3 linked regions of the Macaca mulatta genome follow. The protein of the gene in region 1 purifies or fractionates together with the protein of each later gene. This does not show direct contact. Links are inferred from orthologs where the notes say so. Each region holds a gene or a part of one and is shown on either strand. Other genes may lie near its edges.

Region 1 (6,164 bases):
TCCTCCCACCTTGGCCTCCCAAAATGCTGGGATTACAGGCCTATGGTAAAATTGATTTTGTTATATGTCCTTCTACGGTTTTTTTGTTGTTTGTTTTGAGGAGTCCCATTCTGTTGCCCAGGCTGAACTGCGGTAGCGTGATCTTGGCTCACTGCAGCCTCTGCCTCCCAGGTTCCAGCCATTCTCCTGCCTTAACCTCCCGAGTAGCTGGGATTACAAGTACCCACCACCACGCCAGGTTAATTTTTGTATCTTCAGTAGAGAGGGGTTTCACCATGTTGGCCAGGCTGGTCTCGAACTCCTGACCTCAAGTGACCTGCCGAGCTCCGCCTCCCAAAGTGCTGGGATTACAGGCATGAACCACCATGCCTGGCCTATCCTTGTGTTTAAAGTGGCAGTTTCCAAGATCCTCTCCATGACCATGTTAAGTGAGGATTTACTGTATTTGCATATACTGTATTTGTAAACTTCCCGTTACACTTCAGTCTCTAGATTGCTTATAATAGCTTATATGATGTAAACTTTAAATCATCTCTACATTGCTTATAATGCCTTATACAATGTAAATGCTATATAAATATACTGCATTGCGTTTTATTTTGTATTATTTTTATTGTATTATTTTAAAAATATTTTCCACCCAGGGCTGGTTGAAATTGAGGATGGGGAACCCACGGATAGAGGGCCAACTGTACATCACATATCATACATAGTACTTTATATATGTATGTATATATGTATATAAAATGGCTTGATATTATTCATTTATGTAATGAATAAAAACTTAGGTCTGAAAATCATCCAAAATCATTCTGGTGCATCTAAACATTGAGTTGTTGGGTTTTTCTTTATTGGAGGGGGAGTTAGAATAAGTGGTGCTTTGAAGTTAGTCATAGTCCATCGTGAACGAACATTTGCTAAAGAAAATTGTATTACTTCAATAAACCATTTATCTACCTCTTGGTGGCACAAAGGGCCTAGTAAATTTTGGTGGGCTATTTGCTCTTAAGCAAAGAACAATCTGTAAAGCTGATTTGGAGGACGCTTGGGAACAAACAAGAGACGCAACCACGTGAAAGACAACGTGCATGTGACTTTCACAGAAAATACTATTTGGTGATGATTTAGTATGTGAAGTGCCGCTAGGGTGAAAGGAAAATCTGAGTGTTGCAGATCAAGGGCACCAGGTGGGACGCAGTTGGCATGCAAGCTCACCCAGCCAAAACATGCGCTGTCAAACCAATAACCTGGGATTACAATGTTTTGGCTTTCAGGAAAGGTTGGTTGTCGAAGCGGCCAAATTCCAGCCTGGGGAGGCAGAGTTGAAATTTTAAGACTTTCCCAAGAAGTATTTCGATATATTTTCCGAGACCCTGAGAAGATCACGAGGCGCCAAGAATGCACGCCCTGCGCCTCACCCCAACCTCTCTCTCAGCTACCTGGCCCAACCCAGGCCTCTAAAATGGATTAGAGGTCTGGGGCCTACAATTGGCCTCGGAAGTGTTCCTTTCCCTCCTTTCTCCACCCCTCCGAGAGTTCAAAACAACTGGGTGTGCCATCCCTTTTCCGAACGCATCCCCCATCTGAGGGGCGGATCCTAATTCCCGCGGGCTCAGGCCCCCGCAGGTTGGCGGGAGCCGGTGGGGGCGGGCCGGCCGAGTCCGGGAAGCAGATCGAACACCGCCGCGCGCCGCGATCAAACTCGCGCCGCCACTAGCTCACGAGCTGCGCCCCACCCTCTCCGTCACCGAAGGCGCCCAGCCAATGAGCGGGCGGGAAAGGCCGGGCCTGCGAACTAGGCACTGGGAGGGTGAGGGCCGCAGGGGGAAGGGAAGTCGAGAGCTCGAGGGCGGGCTGCACTTGATTGACAGCTCGTTCGAACGAATCCTCCACGCGGCTTTCCTTCGCTCTCTTTTCTACTCAGCCCTGCTCTTCGTCCCACCTCCTCCTCCTCCACCCCTCTCCTCTTGCCTTTCGACCCTCCCCACTTCCCCTCCCCCACTCTGCGGGCAAATCGCTGCTGAAAAGAGGCGGGGGCCGAAGCGGCGGGCTCGTGTGGAGCCTTGAGGTGGGATTGACTGGCGCTCAGGCCAATGAGAGATAGGCTCATGGCGCGGCTGTAGCTGGAACTGACCAATAGGAGGGCGGGCTGGGGGCGGAGGCCCAGGTTCCAAACGCTCCGCGGCGCCATGGGCTGAAAACTCAACCGAGATGGAATCTCCCAGTCTGAACCGGTTTCAACCGGTTCCGAGTTTGAGGCACTAGGAGGAGGGGGAGAAGCGGCTGCAGCGGCCGCGGCAGGAGCAGCGGGAGCTACAGCATCAGCAAGAGCAACAGTAGCTACAGCCCCGGCGGCGGTGCCTGTTCCAGTCTTTGCTGCTGCAGTCCGTGCAACCACCCAGAGGGGGAGGGGGGAACCACCAGTCGCTGAGGAGCAAGAGAAGGGGGGAAAGTTTAGGCGAGCCTGGGGGGGGCCCAGCGCCGGAGCCGCGTGAGAGAGGGAGCCGTGTTTTGGTAGGGGGGAGTCGGACTGCAACTGGCAGCAGAGCGTCCCCCCGGCCGTGTGGACTCTACACCCCCTACTCCTGCCGCTTCTGCTGCTGCCTGTGGCTGGAGGGTCCCCCTGGGGCTGAATCTTTGGGACTTGACCCGGTTCCCTCCCCCTTCCCTCACTCCCCAGCCGGGCGGGAGCATTTATTCCCCAGATTAATTCCCCTTCTTTTTTGGGGGGCGGGTGGGTGTGTGTGTTGGGGGGAAGCGTCCCTGAAATAGTAAATATTATTGAGCTCTTTTTGCCCTTTTCCTCTCCGTTTTTTTAATTTCTTTTTTTAAGGTGGGAAAACTGTGAAACCCACCTTGATTCGTCCCCTCTCCCCCTCCCCACCTTCCCTGGCCCTAATCCCCCGACAAGGAAGGAAGGAGCAGTTGGTTCAATCTCTGGGTAAGTCGACTGTGTCTTTGGGGCCGAGGGTCGGGCGGCGGCGCGGCCGGGCGGGAGGAGGCCAGCGTGGGGCGCGGCGGTCGCGGGAAGCGAGCCCAGGAGGCGGCGGGCGGGCCGGGGGCGCGCCGGGCCCACAGCGGAGCCTGCGATTGAATGGAGCCGCTTTTGCCGCTGGGGGATGGAGGCGGGGAGGCGGCCGCGGGAGGGGAGCGCTTGCTGGGTCATTCGCGTGTGCGGGTGGCGGTGGAGGAAGGCGAGGAGCGTGATAGTGAAACGGGGCCCCGCGCGGGGTGGAAGGGCTTCCCCAGCCCCACGGGCTGGGGAGAAGTTGGGGTGATTTCAGGAACATCTCTGTAAATTATTAGGAGTGGAAGTTTCCAGAAATATTTAGTGCAGCAGCATTGAAACGTCCGCCTGCATCACGTGGCCCCCTCGGTGGAGAGCTTGGGATGGGGGAGGGAGGGGCTGCCGACTCCCTGTTCCTCCAGCAAGGAAACTCGAAAGCTCTCCGGTTTTTTGCAGAGTGGCATGTGAAGTAGGAAAGATGAATTTTTCAGGGGCCTGCACATGGGATTCCGTCTTGTAGTTCCTTTTCAGGGGGTTGTGTGTGATAAGTTGGTTAAACCATTTACTGGTGGCCTCGTACAGTGGAGGATGCCCTGATTCTCCTTCATTCCGATGTCTGAGTTTGGGTTGGGTGGGAGGAAGTGGTGTAGTAGAGGAAGCATTCATTACTGGCTCAGCCCGGACCTCCTCTGATCACGCCGAGGCCATGCTGCATAGAGAAAGGGGCGTTGAACTTAAGGCGCCTGGTCTAAATGCCTCCTCCGAGTATGGGCGGGGTGAGTGCGTGCTCCCGTGTGCTATAGTTAGAAGGGCTGCAAATCGGTTCGGGTGGGAAGCCAGGGGAGGGCGGGCCCTAGTGAGGTGTGTTTCTCCTGAATGAAGCAGGCGGTTGCCCACACACCTAAGGAGCAGTCAGTCTTTCGCCTTGTAGCGACTTGTTTTTTTTTTTCACCTAGTGTGAAGTTATTAAGCAACGGTTATGATTTCCTGGGTTTTGGATAGGAACTGGCATTGGGGGTCACTTGTAGAGTCACAACATTATCCATTAAGCTGGATAATCCCTAGTGTATGTTATCCAGTGAGTGGATTTTAGGATTGAAGAGCCCAACGGGAATGAGCGTTCGTGGTTACACCTCTCCCTCTTTGACTTGTTTGCTGTCTGATTGTATATCTTAAGTGTGGGACGCTGCTGTTAGTGGAAAGAATGTTTTGGAAGCGGCTTGGTTTGGGGGACTAAATGTGCTTGGCATTGACCACAAAGCCGCCATTTCTGTACTATGTACAGTTCAAGAATAGGTAGGTCATTTCGAAGACAGCCGCTAGTTCTAAGGATGGCAAACTACTGTATTTAAATCCTTCTATTCTAAATCTCGTTTTTCACATCAGTCTAGTTCGGAGAATTCTATAAGGACAGTGTATTTGAAAGTGAAACTTGGAAGAGTCATTTTCTTAATCCTTTTTTGTTTTGGCATTAAACTATTGTAGGAGTAAATAGGTGAAAAGTTTGTTCAATAATTAACCGAAATATTTGAAAACTTCTGATACGTAGATCTTGATGCTTTGTGGACATTGCTTTTAAGCCTCAAATAATTAAGATTGTTCTGATCTTTTAAATTTTATAGTAGTTGAAGGTGGAGAGTTTACACATTCATTTGTGGAATATATATTTCCTCTCAGTTTTTAGATCTTAAGGGTTTTTTTTGTGGTGTGTAACAAGTATCCTGCTGTTTAAAAAAGTTTGTTTAATGCCTACTACAAAATATTTTGAAGTCTCATCAGTTTTGTCAATAATGGACCAATTCTTGAACTCCTAATTTCTTGAGTTTCACATTATTTTTACATCATGTCAGTCATAGGTGACTCATTTTTTGGAGTTCTAATCTGTTGTAACAGACGTTATATTTAAATGAGACATTTGCATTAAAATTGAAATTGCTGCCATTATTATGGACATTTTTAAGCTGTTATAAAATAGCCAGGAATTAACGCCTTTTTTCCCCCCTGCCAAGCTAGTTTGTCCAAATACAGTGTAAAGAAATTAGCTACTCATTTTCTGGTCCATGAAAGTTCCTAAAATGGGAAGAAGCGGAGATCTGACCTTGTTAGTTCTAAATACACTAAACCGGGGGTGCCATGGATGGCTTTCAGGATGTCCTGAATCCTCTACAATTGTATACAGAATCATGAGTTTTTAAAAACTAGGTTAGAGCTATTGGTTCCTCAGAGTCTCAGGCATCTTAGACCCCAAAAAAGGTTAAGGACTACTGACTTAACCAGTTAGGTTTGAGTGGCATTGGCTTTGAAGAAAAGCAGAGGAAAGATATTTTTTATAATTCTGGGCAACAAAAAGTTGGATGTGTGCCAGCATCTTAGAGTAGAATCCTCTTAAAAGGATAGCGTTGCATATGAACTAGTAGGTTTTAACCAGTACATATTTTGGCGAAGTAGCTCATTTTTCTCTTAGAATTCTTTTTTATTTGGGAATGGGCAGGCTTTTACAGCTTTTAACTTGCCAATGAATCTTGTTAGGCATATTGCCCGTAAAGTTTTTTTTCCTAGATTATATATTCAGTAAATATGATTGTAGATGTAATTTCAATCCCCCAATTCATTGAGGGTTGAAACAATTTGAATGGTTTGAGTGTAGAAACTAAGTTATTTCTGTAGAGGCTAAGGGGATTTATACCAAGATATGTTAGACTTGTGGTTCCTGCTAACCATTGCTGTAGACGATAGGAATTACTGTATATCCACATTTTGATTTTTAACGTCATTCTGTCTTTTTTTGTTTGTTTTTTGAGATGGAGTCTCAATTCTGTTGCCCAGGCTGGAGTGGGGTGACGCATCTTGGCTCACTGCAACCTCCATCTCCTGGGTTCAAGCAGTTCTCCTGCCTCAGCCTCCTGAGTAGCTGGGATTACAGGCGCCTGCCTCCACGCCTGACTAATTTTTCTATTTTTAGTAGAGATGGGGTTTTGCCATTGTTGGCCAGGCTGGTCTGGAACTCTTGACCTCAAGTGATCCGCCCACCTCGGCCTCCCAAAGTGCTGGGATTACAGGTGTGAGCCACTGCGCTCAGCCCATTCTGTCTTTATAGAATTATTTTTATAAAGTTAAGATAATGTGAAGTGAGCTTTTACTGAGTTATCCAGAAGAC
Region 2 (5,596 bases), on another chromosome or scaffold:
AACAAATCCATCAGTGAGTGAAGAGTGGAGCTCTTCCCTTCCTTCCCATAGTCCTCCTTCCAGAGGCACCCACTGTGTTGTGTTGAGTAGGTAGCCTTCCAGACTTTTCTGGATGTTATACAAACAGTCTATGTGTAGCTGCGTTTTTGTTTTGTTTTGTTTTTTATGTAAAATGCGATAATACACTATGCACTGTTCCCCAACTCTTTCAGTCCATTCCATAAAAACAGAGCTGAAGGGAAAAGAGTGAAAAAGCTATGTTGATAATGCAGAATCACTCTGGGTTAAAGCACAGTATTTGTCTTTTCACTGAGTCCGTCTTTAAGGGTCTGTTTCTCTAACTATGGGCACTAAAGAAAATGGGTACTCTTGTTGTTGCATGTGCACTCTGTCATCCTCCCTGTGAATTTCTTGAGATAATGTTCACAAATATCCTTCAATATCAATTGAGTTGCAAGGAACCCACATGTATCTATTGAGCCTGGGTACGAAGGAGGGATTCACAGGTGGTGCTAAGGCCTTTGTTGTGCCTTCTTCCTCGAGACTGTTCTCTGGCGAGGAGGGGAGCAGAGTGCTGAATGTAGGTGGTGTGGGTTTAAGGTTATGTTTCTTATTTGTTATTATCGAAAGTTACATGAAATTTGGTACATAATCTTTTAGGGCACTAACCTGTAAAAAGATAATGCAATTTATTTAATTTTCTTGCTTTGCTGTTTGCCTTTTTTTTTTTTTTTTTTTGGAGAGATGGTCTTGCTCTGTTGCCCAGGCTGGGGTGCAATGCTGTGATAACGTAATGGCTCACTGCAGCCTCAGCCTCGTGGACTCAGGTGATCCGTCCGCCTCAGCCTCCTAGGTAGCTGGGACTACAGGCGCTTGCCACCATGCACAGCTAATTTTTGTATTTTTTGTAGAGACAGGGTTTTGCCATGTTGCCCAGGTTAGTCTCAAACTCCTGGGCTCAAGCAGTGTGCCCACCTTGGCCTTCCAAAGTGCCGAGATTACAGACATGAACCACCTCGCCCAGCCTTATTCCACTATTGATGATTATCTGCATCAGTGCTAGTGGTGTTGCTGCTGTGAATGGTGTTGCATTGACTACTCTCATTACCTATAGCTGAACATGTTCATGCGTTTTTTTTTTTTTTTTTTGACACTGAGTTTTGCTCTTGTCGCCCAGGCTGGAGTGCAGTGGCGTGATCTCAGCTCACTGCAACCTACGCCTCCTGGGTTCAAGCAGTTCTCCTGCCTCAGCCTCCCAAGTAGCTGGGATTGCAGGTGCCCGCCACAATGCCTGGCTATGTATTTTTAGTAGAGACAAGGTTTCGCCATGTTGGCCAGGCTATTCTCGAACTTCTGACCTCAGGTGATCCACCTGCCTCAGCCTCCCAAAGTGTTGGGATTACAGGCGTGAGTCACCACACCCGGCCACGTTCATACATTTCTGTAGGACAAAGTCCTGGAAGTAGATAGCACTGTTCTGTGTCTTCAGTCTCGCCTGGCCAAGGAGATGGAATAGGTGGCATCTAAGGAATAGATTAGATTTGATAGTTTGATTGGTTTAGGGATTGTTTCATTTGATACTTTATTTTGCCCTCCAAATCTCTTTCAGACTTTGCAGGAAAAAAAAGTCATTCCTTGTCCTCCGTTTTATGAGTCAGATCATCCTGTCAGAGGTAATAACTGCTTTTCTTATTGGGCTGACCTCTAATGACATGTTATGTATATTACGGAAATTCAAAATCATGTAATGTACCTGCTCAGTGAGGTGTTGGTGTTTGCTTTATGAATAATGTCACTATTTCAAAGAGCTAGTTAAGTCAGTGTAAATTATGGCCCTCTGGGTGACATCTGTGTTTCATGGTAAATGACATGAAATGGATCCCAACTTTTTATTACAATTCTTCATAATTTGCCCTGATTATAATCCAGCAGAAAAATTACCATTTGGGGATGAGTTTGGGCTTCTTGGATCTTTGTACCTGTGAGTTATTTTTAGTCAATGAAATTTGGGCCTTTGATTTTTTTTTTATCCATGGTGTGTATTATAGCATGCAGTGGCTATTCCAAACATAAGTTGCTTTTGGTTGCATCTGGTTGCTGTCATTTTTATGACCTACTGATTAAGATGTGTCTTTCAGTTCTGGATGTGCTGTGGATCGGTACATACGTCTTCACAATAGTGTATGCTGCTGCAGATGGGACCCTGGAAACGTCTCCGGATGTGGTGATGGCTCTCCTGCCGGTATGCATGTGAAAGAAATTTCATTGTTTGAGAATTAGAGAAGTCTTTTTTTTTTTTTTTTTGAGACAGAGTCTCGCTTAGTCGCCCAGGCTGGAGTGCAATGGCGCAATCTCGGCTCACTGCAAGCTCCGCCTCCCGGGTTCACGCCATTCTCCTGCCTCAGCCTCCCGAGTAGCTGGGACTACAGGCGCCCGCCGCCTCGCCCGGCTAATTTTTTGCATTTTTAGTAGAGACGGGGTTTCACCGTGTTAGCCAGGATGGTCTCGATCTCCTGACCTCGTGATCCGCCCGCCTCGGCCTCCCAAAGTGCTGGGATTACAGGCGTGAGCCACCGCGCCCGGCAGAGAATTAGAGAAGTCTTCTAATAAAGCTGGAGGCTTTGATTTCAAGGTTTTTTTTGTGTTTGTGGGGTGTTTTTTTTTTTTTTTTGTAAGTTGAAAATGTAATTTTAATAGTTAATTCTTCATCTTACATAGGAGCACAATAAAATACACCACAATCTGAAGAAACTCTTTTTTTTTTTTTTTTTTTTTTTTGAGATGAGATCTCACTCTGTCACCCAGACTGGAGTGCAGTGATGCGATCTCACCGCACTGAAGCCTGGACCTCCTGGACTCAAGTGATCCTCCCACCTTAGCCTTCTGAGTAGCTGGTACTACAGGTGCACACCACTATGCCTGGCTAATTTTTGTTTTTTTTGTTTTTTTTGTTTTTTTGGTGGAGATGGGGTTTCGCCATGTTGCCCAGACTGGTCTTGAACTCCTGAGCTCAAGTGATCTGCCCACCTAGGCCTCCCAAAGTGCTGGGATTACAGGTGTGCATCACCGCACCTGGCCTGATTTCAGGTTCTTTTACTTACTGGCAGTGATTATGCAACTTCAGGTATAAGGTTTCCATGCTGTACCATGGGCCTGGGGTCCAAAGTTAGAGTGTCCACAGCCGTGTTCTATTGTTTTGGTATGAAGTTAAAAAAAAAATGATTTTGCTTAAGTTATAAACTATGGGTCTTGGTTAACTCGATAAATTTTAGAAGAGCAAGACAGTATCTTGATTTTTAAAATTACTTTGTTTGCTCTCAAATTTTTAATGCCAACAATGTGCTAGGCACTGCTTTAAAGCTGAGTATATAGCAGTGATCAAGGTGATGGCCTTGCTTTTATGGTTTTAAATTTGTTGTTGTTGATAATTTTTACTTATTTTTTAGAGACAGAGTCTCAGTCTCTTGCCCAGGCTGGAGTGTAGTGGTGTGATCACAGCTCACTACAGCCTCAAATTCTTGGGCTTAAGCCATCCTCCTGCCTCAGCCTCCCAAGTAGCTGGGACCACAGGCATGCACCAACACACCCAGCTGTTTTTAAATTTTTCGTAGAGGTGGGGTCTTGCTTTGTTGCCCACACTGGTCTCAAACTCCTGGCTTTAAGCAGTTCTCCCACCTCGATCTCTCAAAGCACTAGGATTATAGGTCTGAGCCACTACACCTGGCTGGGCTTACATTCTAATGGGATAGTCAATACTAAGTGTGAGATCAAGGACTGGTAAGAGTGATGGAGAAAATAAAGCTGTGTTAGGGATAGATGATGACTGGTACGTATTTGAGATTGGGTGTCAATGGAGGCCAATTTGATATTTGAAAAAGATGCCTTGTTTTTAACTCTTGGGTTTCTAATAAGGTTGAATTTTTAAAATGTTTATCTAGATGCCTTCTTTTAAGATTAGTTAGAGGTTTTTTCTATTCTAGGGGATAATATTAACACTAGTATTTATTAACTGCTAGTTATGTTTCACGTACTGGGCTGGAAGTTTTATATGTATCATTTCATTTTACACTTACAGTAGCCTCTGAAGTAGGCTTAGGAGATCTAGCATACACATGAAAACACTAAGTATCAGGAAGGTTGAAAAATCTGCCTCTCTCATGGACAGAAAGTGGCAGAACAGAGTTTAAATGCGGTTCGCTTGATGGCCAATGTTTGTACTCCTTGTACTAAGTGCTGCCTTTATACCATGTCCCTATATCTGGACTTAGACTTTGAGTGAATATTCTCATACAACTTTAAATGATTTATCATTTGAGATTCTTTTACTGTAGGATCCGAGAAAAACCTAATTTTTTTCTTGCTTTGTTCATTGTAGAAAAAAGAAGAAAAGCACCCAGAGATATTTGTGAACTTTATGGAGCCCTGTTACGGCAGCTGCGCGGAGAGGCAGCACCATTACTACCTCAGTTACATTGAGGAGTGGTGAGCAGAGAGTCTGGACAGGGCATTCCTGCTCTCACTGGAAGATCACGCCTGAGTCATCTTGTCCCATGTTGAAATGTTTTCTGATTGATTGATTGATGGATGGATTGGCAGGGTCTCACTCCATTACCCAGGCTGGAGTACAGTGGCACGATTGTAGCTCACAGAAGCCTGGAACTCCCAGGCTTACGTGATCCTTCCACCTCAGCCTCCTAGATGGGACTACAGGCACATGCCACCACACCTGGCTTAGTTTTAAAGTTTTTGTTTGTTTGTTTGTGTTTTGGTAGAGATGGGATCTTGTTACGTTGCTCAGGCTGGCTTCCTAAAGTACTGAGATTATAGGTGTGAACTGTAGCACCCAGCCTGAAATCTTTTCTATTATAGAGGAAAATGGAGGCTGAGATACCTTGAACGTATTTTCAGCTTATTCTTGATAATGTCTATTATTTCTTTTTCCCCAATCTTGAGTTATTTATATTAAATACGTACTAATTTCGAAAATCTAATTTTCTCAATAACCCCTAGTGATGACTTATGAAAATACTGATACTCAAGGAATATATTAAAAGTTTCCTTCTGAGAGCAGAGTTGCCCACTGGAATGGAGATTACTCAAAGCAAAGCTTCCATCCCTCTAGCTACATTATTCTGCCTTTGGGTGGCATATTGATTGTGAACTCTGACTTGATTCTGTTGTGTCTTTCCTTTGTCTTCGTGTAGGTAGGCAGTGAGCTGATTCTACAGGGCTTTCTCACAGAAACTAAAAAGTTCAGCTTTATATCTAGAATCTTCCCACCTTTGTTAAACCAGATAGAAAACCTTACTCTCTCCTCGATATGTGGAGGCAGCCCTCACAGATGTTACCTGCAGACCCAAGTTAGAGAACTATTGCTGTATTTGAATGTAATGGTCTCTGGTTTTGTTCTTTAAGGGATTTAGTGCTGGCAGCATCTGCGGCTTCAACAGAAGTTAGTATCCTTGCTCGACAAAGTGATCAGGTAAATCTTTTTTGTCACTTTTGTGGTACTTTCTTTTTTGCGTGTGGTTAGGATGTACATTGTCTCACATCTGTTTTATCAAGTTTCTGCATGACAGCAAAGCTTCAGTGACAG
Region 3 (5,596 bases), on another chromosome or scaffold:
AAAAAAATCAATCACATAAGAAAAGATAATAGCTTTTCTCCCCCTCTGATTTTAACAGTAACACATTACCAAAGTTACTGGTGCTTACATGGGGTTGAATGAAGTTACGATGGATATTTCACTTAATGTTGTTCTTGAATGCTTTAATTTTTTACAACAGACTTAAAATTTTTTTTTTTTTTTTTTTTTTTTTTTTTGAGACGGAGTCTTGCTCTGTCGCCCAGGCTGGAGTGCAGTGGCCGGATCTCAGCTCGCTGCAAGCTCTGCCTCCCGGGTTTATGCCATTCTCCTGCCTCAGCCTCCCGAGTAGCTGGGACTACAGGCGCCCGCCACCTCGCTCGGCTAGTTTTTTGTATTTTTTAGTAGAGACGGGGTTTCACCATGTTAGCCAGGATGGTCTCGATCTCCTGACCTCATGATCCGCCCGACTCGGCCTCCCAAAGTGCTGGGATTACAGGCTTGAGCCACCGCGCCCGGCCGAGACTTAAAATTTTTTAAAATACATGTGACTGGGCACGGTGGCTCACGCCTGTAATCTCAGCACTTTGGGAGGCCGAGGTGGGTGGATCACCTGAGGTCAGGAGTTCAAGACCAGCGTGATCAACATGTTGAAACCCCATCTCTACTAAAAATACAAAATTCAGGAAAATCACTTGAACTTGGAAGGTAGAGGTTGTGGTGAGCCGAGATCGTGCCATGGCACTCCAGCATAGGCAACAAGAACAAAACTCTGCTTCAAAAAACAAAACAAAACAAAACAAAAAACATGTAATTGGTCGGACGCAGTGGCTCACGCCTGTAATCCCAGCACTTCAGGAGGCTGAGGCAGGTGGATCACTTGAGATTAGGAGTTTGAGACCAGCCTGGCCAACATGGTGAAACCCTGTCTCTACTAAAAATACAAAATTTGGGCCAGGTGCAGTGGCTCACGCCTATAGTCCCAGCACTTCGGGAGGCCGGGGGTTGGAGGGGGTGGATCACCTGAGGTCAGGAGTTCGAGACCAGCCTGGCCAAACTGGTGAAACCTTGTCTCTACTAAAAATACAACAATTAGCTGGGTGTGGTGGTGGGCACCTGTAATCCCAGCTACTCGAGAGGCTGAGGCAGGAGAATCACTTAAACCCAAGAGGCAGAGGTTGCAGTGAGCCGAGATTGCACCATTGCACTCTAGCCTGCGCGACAGAACGAGACTCCGTCTCAAAAAAAAAAAAAACAAAGCAGGGCATGGTGATGCACGCCTGTAATCTCAGCTACTCAGAAGGCTGAGGCACAAGAATCACTTCAACCTGGGAGGCAGAAGTTGCAGTGAGCTGAGATGCCTGTGCACTCTAGCCTGGCGAGGGAGTGAGACTCCGTCTCAAAAAAAAAAGAAAAATACATATAGTGCTCCTTGTTAAACATCTTAGATAATATAGGAAGTTACAATGAAACAAGTAATTATTATCTATAATACCATTTTCCAGAGGTTACCATTGTTAATATGGGATATATTTTCTTCCCCAGATTTTTCTCATATTTTTTATGTGTATGCATTTTTTTTCCAAAAAAAAAAGGATGATAGGCTGTTTTTCTTTCTTTTTTTTTCTTTTTTTGGTGGGGGGATGGAGTTTCACTCTGTCACCCAGGCTGGAGTACTGAGTGCAATGTTGTGATCTTGGCTCACTGCAACCTCCACCTCCTGGGTTCAAGCAGTTTTCCTGCCTCAGCCTCCCGAGTAGCTGGGATTACAGTCACGCACCACCATGCCTGGCTGATTTTTGTGTATATATATATTTTTAGTGGCACTGGGGTTTTACCATGTTGGCCAGGCTGGTCTCGGACTCCTGACCTCAAGTGATCCACCCAGCTTGGCCTCCCAAAGTGCTGGGATTACAGGCATGAGCCACTGCGCCTAGCCTTTTTTTTTCTTTTTTTGAAACAGAGTCTGGCTCTGTTGCCCAGGCTGGAGTGCAGTGACTCCATCTTGACTCACTGCAACCTCCACCTCCCAGGTTCAAGCAATTCTCCTGCCTCAGCCTCCTGAGTAGCTGGGATTACAGGCGCCCATCACTGCGCCTGGCTAATTTTTGTATTTTTAGTAGAGATGGGGTTTTGCCATGTTGGCCAGGCTGGTTTCGAACTCCTGATCTCAGGTAATCCGCCCGCTCCGGCCTCCCACAGTGTTGGGATTACAGATGTGAGCCACCGCACCTGGCCATCTGTTTTTCATTCTGCTTTACTTGGCAATGGGGAACATCTTTCTATTCAATAGATTGATCTCTGAAAACATCACTTTTGATGACTTCATACTGTTCTATCATGAATATACCACATATTTAACTAGTTCACTACTATTGAACCCCTGGGTGGTTCTGTTTTTGTTGTTTTTACAATGTTATGAAGAATACAGTAGAGAATATTTGTGTAATTGATCTTTGGGTGCATCCATTATTCTGTTCTTGGGATACATTTTGAGAAGTGGAATTGCTGGGCAATTCCTCTTAACCTATTTCTAGGGTTTTTGATAAATATTGTCTAATTGGCCCAGGAAAATGTTTGCCATTTCTGATATGTAGTATTTGACTGACTTTTTCAGGGCAGGAAGATGTCACCCAAGCGCATAGCTAAAAGAAGGTCCCCCCCAGCAGATGCCATCCCCAAAAGCAAGAAGGTGAAGGGTAAGTTGGCCTTGGCCTCTTTGTGGGTACAGGTGGCCCCTCGAAACCCTGAGAACCCGGGACTGGGCTCCCTCCTTCCTGACACTTGAAACTGAAGGGTGTGGATGAGCAGAAACCCCACCCAGCTGGAATGTTTCCCATAGCTCGTTGAATCCCACTCTTTGGCAATCACAAAGTAGGCAGAAACTCCTCCCAAGGCACTTAGGCAGTACTGGCAAAAAAAACTAGACCCTAGGGCTTCACCCCAGCCAGTGATGCATTGTGGTTAGGACCACTGACTTTACGACATGGGTTCAAGTCCTTGCTCTGCCACTTTCTAGCTGATGGGCAAGTCACTTAATCCTGCAGTTTGGATTATCAACTTCATAAAATGGAGGCAGCCAGAGCAGCACCACCCGCTCTGGGCTGTGTGAGGATGAGATGAGATAATGGCCTGGCAGAATTTGAGGGAGGTGGCTGTGGTTTCCTCTCTCCTGGGACACCGGAGGGGCACAGGGAGGAAAGAAAAGCCAGCACTAAACTGGGAGGGGAAGTGTGGACCCACGCTCAGACAGTGTCTGTCTTTTGCAGACGCGAGGGCCGCTGCCTCCCGCCGCATTCCTGGCGCCCGCTCCTGCCAAGGTGCCTGTGGGCCGAGCCCTCCTGACCAGAAAACCCGACCAGGTGGCTCCGCGCCCGGCGCGCCCTCTGTGCTGCCAGCGCGGGCTCCTCAGCGGTGCCACAGCCTCGGGGGAGGGGCTGGGCGCCATTGGCTGCCCGGGACTGCGGGTTGGGGGGCTGCCTTTGGCCCACAGAGGGCCCCGGGCCGCCCACTGGTTGGTGCGCACCTCCTGCAAATGCCGCTGGCCGCTCTTCCTCCTGCCCCTCCTGCCTTTCCACTGGATGGCGGAGGGAGGAGTCCGTTTCTGCAGTGGATTTGCCCGGGAGCTGAACTTACTCACTGGCGGACGGCCTGGGCATGGAGGAGGGCTAGGATGGAGATTGGGCACTGTGCTCTGACCCACGTAGTCTCCCTTGCTTTTGGTGCAGATTCTATTATAATTAGCTTTCGGCCAGGCACGGTGTCTCACGCCTGTAATCGCAACACTTTGGGAGGCTGAGGCGGGCGGATCACGAGGTCAGAAGATCCAGACCATCCTGGCTAACATGGTGAAACCCCGTCTCTACTAAAATACAAAAAAATTAGCCATGCGTGGTGGCGGGCACCTGTAATCCCAGCTACACGGGAGGCTGAGGCAGAGGAATCACTTGAACCCAGGAGGCAGAGGTTGCAGTTAGCCGAGAGCCGCCACTGCACTCCAGCCTGGCAACAGAGGGAGACTCCGTCTCAAACTAATAATAATAATAATAATTAGCTTTCTTTTCTTTTTTTTTTTTTTTTTTTGAGATCGAGTCTCACTCTGTCACCTAGACTAGAGAGGGCAATGGCGCGATCTCGGCTCTGCCACCTCCGCCTCCTAGGTTCAAGTGATTCTCCTGCCTCAGCCCCCCCGAGTAGCTGGGATTACAGGCTACTGTTGGCCAGGCTGGTCTCGAACTCCTGTCCTCAAGTGATCCGCCCGCCTTGGCCTCCCAAAGTGCTAGGATTACAGGTGTGAGCCACCGTACCCGGCCCCTCTTGCCCTCTCCACCAAGATTCATTTCACAGTATCCAGTGTCTCCTTGTTTCCCTTTCTCCCCTTTCATGTGAATAATGTCCTCAGTTCTTAATCTCCACAAAAATCCTGTGAGAGAGGTATTTTGTTGTCCCCATTTCACAGATGACAAAACTTAGACTCAGAAAGTTCATACTAACGGTCTGTGGCAGAGCAAGGGCTTCCGCCCAGGTTTGTCTGATCGCAGAGCCTGCGACCTCTCCTCGCTGTAGTCATCCTCTACACTCAGGGTCTATCTTCTTCACCCTTCAGTCTCACACAGGTCCCACAGCACAGAACCCGGCTTGGTGCTGACACTAGGCCAGGGCGATGTGGGCCAGCTGGGGCTGGGTGAGAATGTGATGGAGAGGAAGAAGCCGGCCCTGGTATCCATTCCAGAGGATGTTGTGCAGGCTGAGGCTGGGGGCATGCACACCGTGTGTCTAAGCAAAAGTGGCCAGGTAGGTGTTGGGGGCTGGCATAGGGTTGGACAAGGCCTGGGATTGGGTGGCTTGGGGCAGGGCTTTTGAACCACACATGTTCACTGTGGAAATGGAGCTGGCTAGTCCAGCGGGGAGTGGCCTACATGAGAATGGACTGCGAGGCCAGACTTTGCATTAATGAGGGCATCCTGGGCACAGGTCTATTCCTTCGGCTGCAATGATGAGGGTGCCCTGGGAAGGGACACATCAGTGGAGGGCTCGGAGATGATCCCTGGGAAAGTGGAGCTGCAAGAGAAGGTGGTACAGGTGTCAGCAGGAGACAGTCACACAGCAGCCCTCACCGAGGATGGCCGTGTCTTCCTCTGGGGCTCCTTCCGGGTAAGGCTGGGTCTGGAAGTCTGCATGGGGCCTGAAAGGCAGAACTAACTGGTGGGGCCCCAAAGATAATCCACTTCCATGCATCCGTGGTACTTACTAGTGGGGAGATGAAAGCCCACAGATAGAGCTGAGGCCCAGACCCAGGATTCCAGCTTCTTCATGTGGGCCACACCACCAGCTGCTTCCTTGGATCCAATGTCATCAAGTGTCTGTCCTGGGAAGCGAGTGGGTCAAGGATGTCCCTGGGTTGAGGCTGATCCAGGAGGCCTGCTGTCTTCACCCATCTCCCTGACTTCCGTCTCCACCTCACCTCGCCAGCACTGCTTCTTCCACATTTCCCAGAGCTTAGATGGGGCAAGCAGGCAGGGATTGTTGCATCTCAGAGTTTCCAAGGTAGAGAGGAGTGTAGTTTAAAAAATAGATTCTGACCGGGCGCGGTGGCTCAAGCCTGTAATCCCAGCACTTTGGGAGGCCGAGACGGGCG

What was found. The genes of interacting proteins can lie anywhere in the genome.
Region 2: the proteins of XPO1 (region 1) and NUP214 purify together in Homo sapiens (affinity purification with western blotting; 4 studies listed by BioGRID and IntAct, with this or other methods). This does not show direct contact. The link is inferred for Macaca mulatta from reciprocal best matches to the Homo sapiens genes XPO1 and NUP214.
Region 3: the proteins of XPO1 (region 1) and RCC1 purify together in Homo sapiens (affinity purification with mass spectrometry; 3 studies listed by BioGRID and IntAct, with this or other methods). This does not show direct contact. The link is inferred for Macaca mulatta from reciprocal best matches to the Homo sapiens genes XPO1 and RCC1.

Annotation. Positions count from the first base shown.
Region 1 is NC_133418.1:63,195,148-63,201,311, forward strand, and holds the start of XPO1 (exportin-1), read left to right. Parts: upstream 1-2,307; 5' UTR 2,308-2,941; intron 2,942-6,164. UniProt on the Homo sapiens protein: Mediates the nuclear export of cellular proteins (cargos) bearing a leucine-rich nuclear export signal (NES) and of RNAs.
Region 2 is NC_133420.1:16,414,904-16,420,499, reverse strand, and holds part of NUP214 (nuclear pore complex protein Nup214), read left to right. Parts: intron 1-1,609; coding exon 1,610-1,673; intron 1,674-2,138; coding exon 2,139-2,242; intron 2,243-3,341; exon of another isoform or gene 3,342-3,537; intron 3,538-4,375; coding exon 4,376-4,482; intron 4,483-5,415; coding exon 5,416-5,482; intron 5,483-5,596. UniProt on the Homo sapiens protein: Part of the nuclear pore complex. Has a critical role in nucleocytoplasmic transport.
Region 3 is NC_133406.1:212,368,210-212,373,805, reverse strand, and holds part of RCC1 (regulator of chromosome condensation), read left to right. Parts: intron 1-2,575; coding exon 2,576-2,657; coding exon of another isoform or gene 2,658-2,679; intron 2,680-3,227; coding exon 3,228-3,320; intron 3,321-4,044; exon of another isoform or gene 4,045-4,249; intron 4,250-4,541; coding exon of another isoform or gene 4,542-4,564; coding exon 4,565-4,752; intron 4,753-4,932; coding exon 4,933-5,112; intron 5,113-5,596. UniProt on the Homo sapiens protein: Guanine-nucleotide releasing factor that promotes the exchange of Ran-bound GDP by GTP, and thereby plays an important role in RAN-mediated functions in nuclear import and mitosis.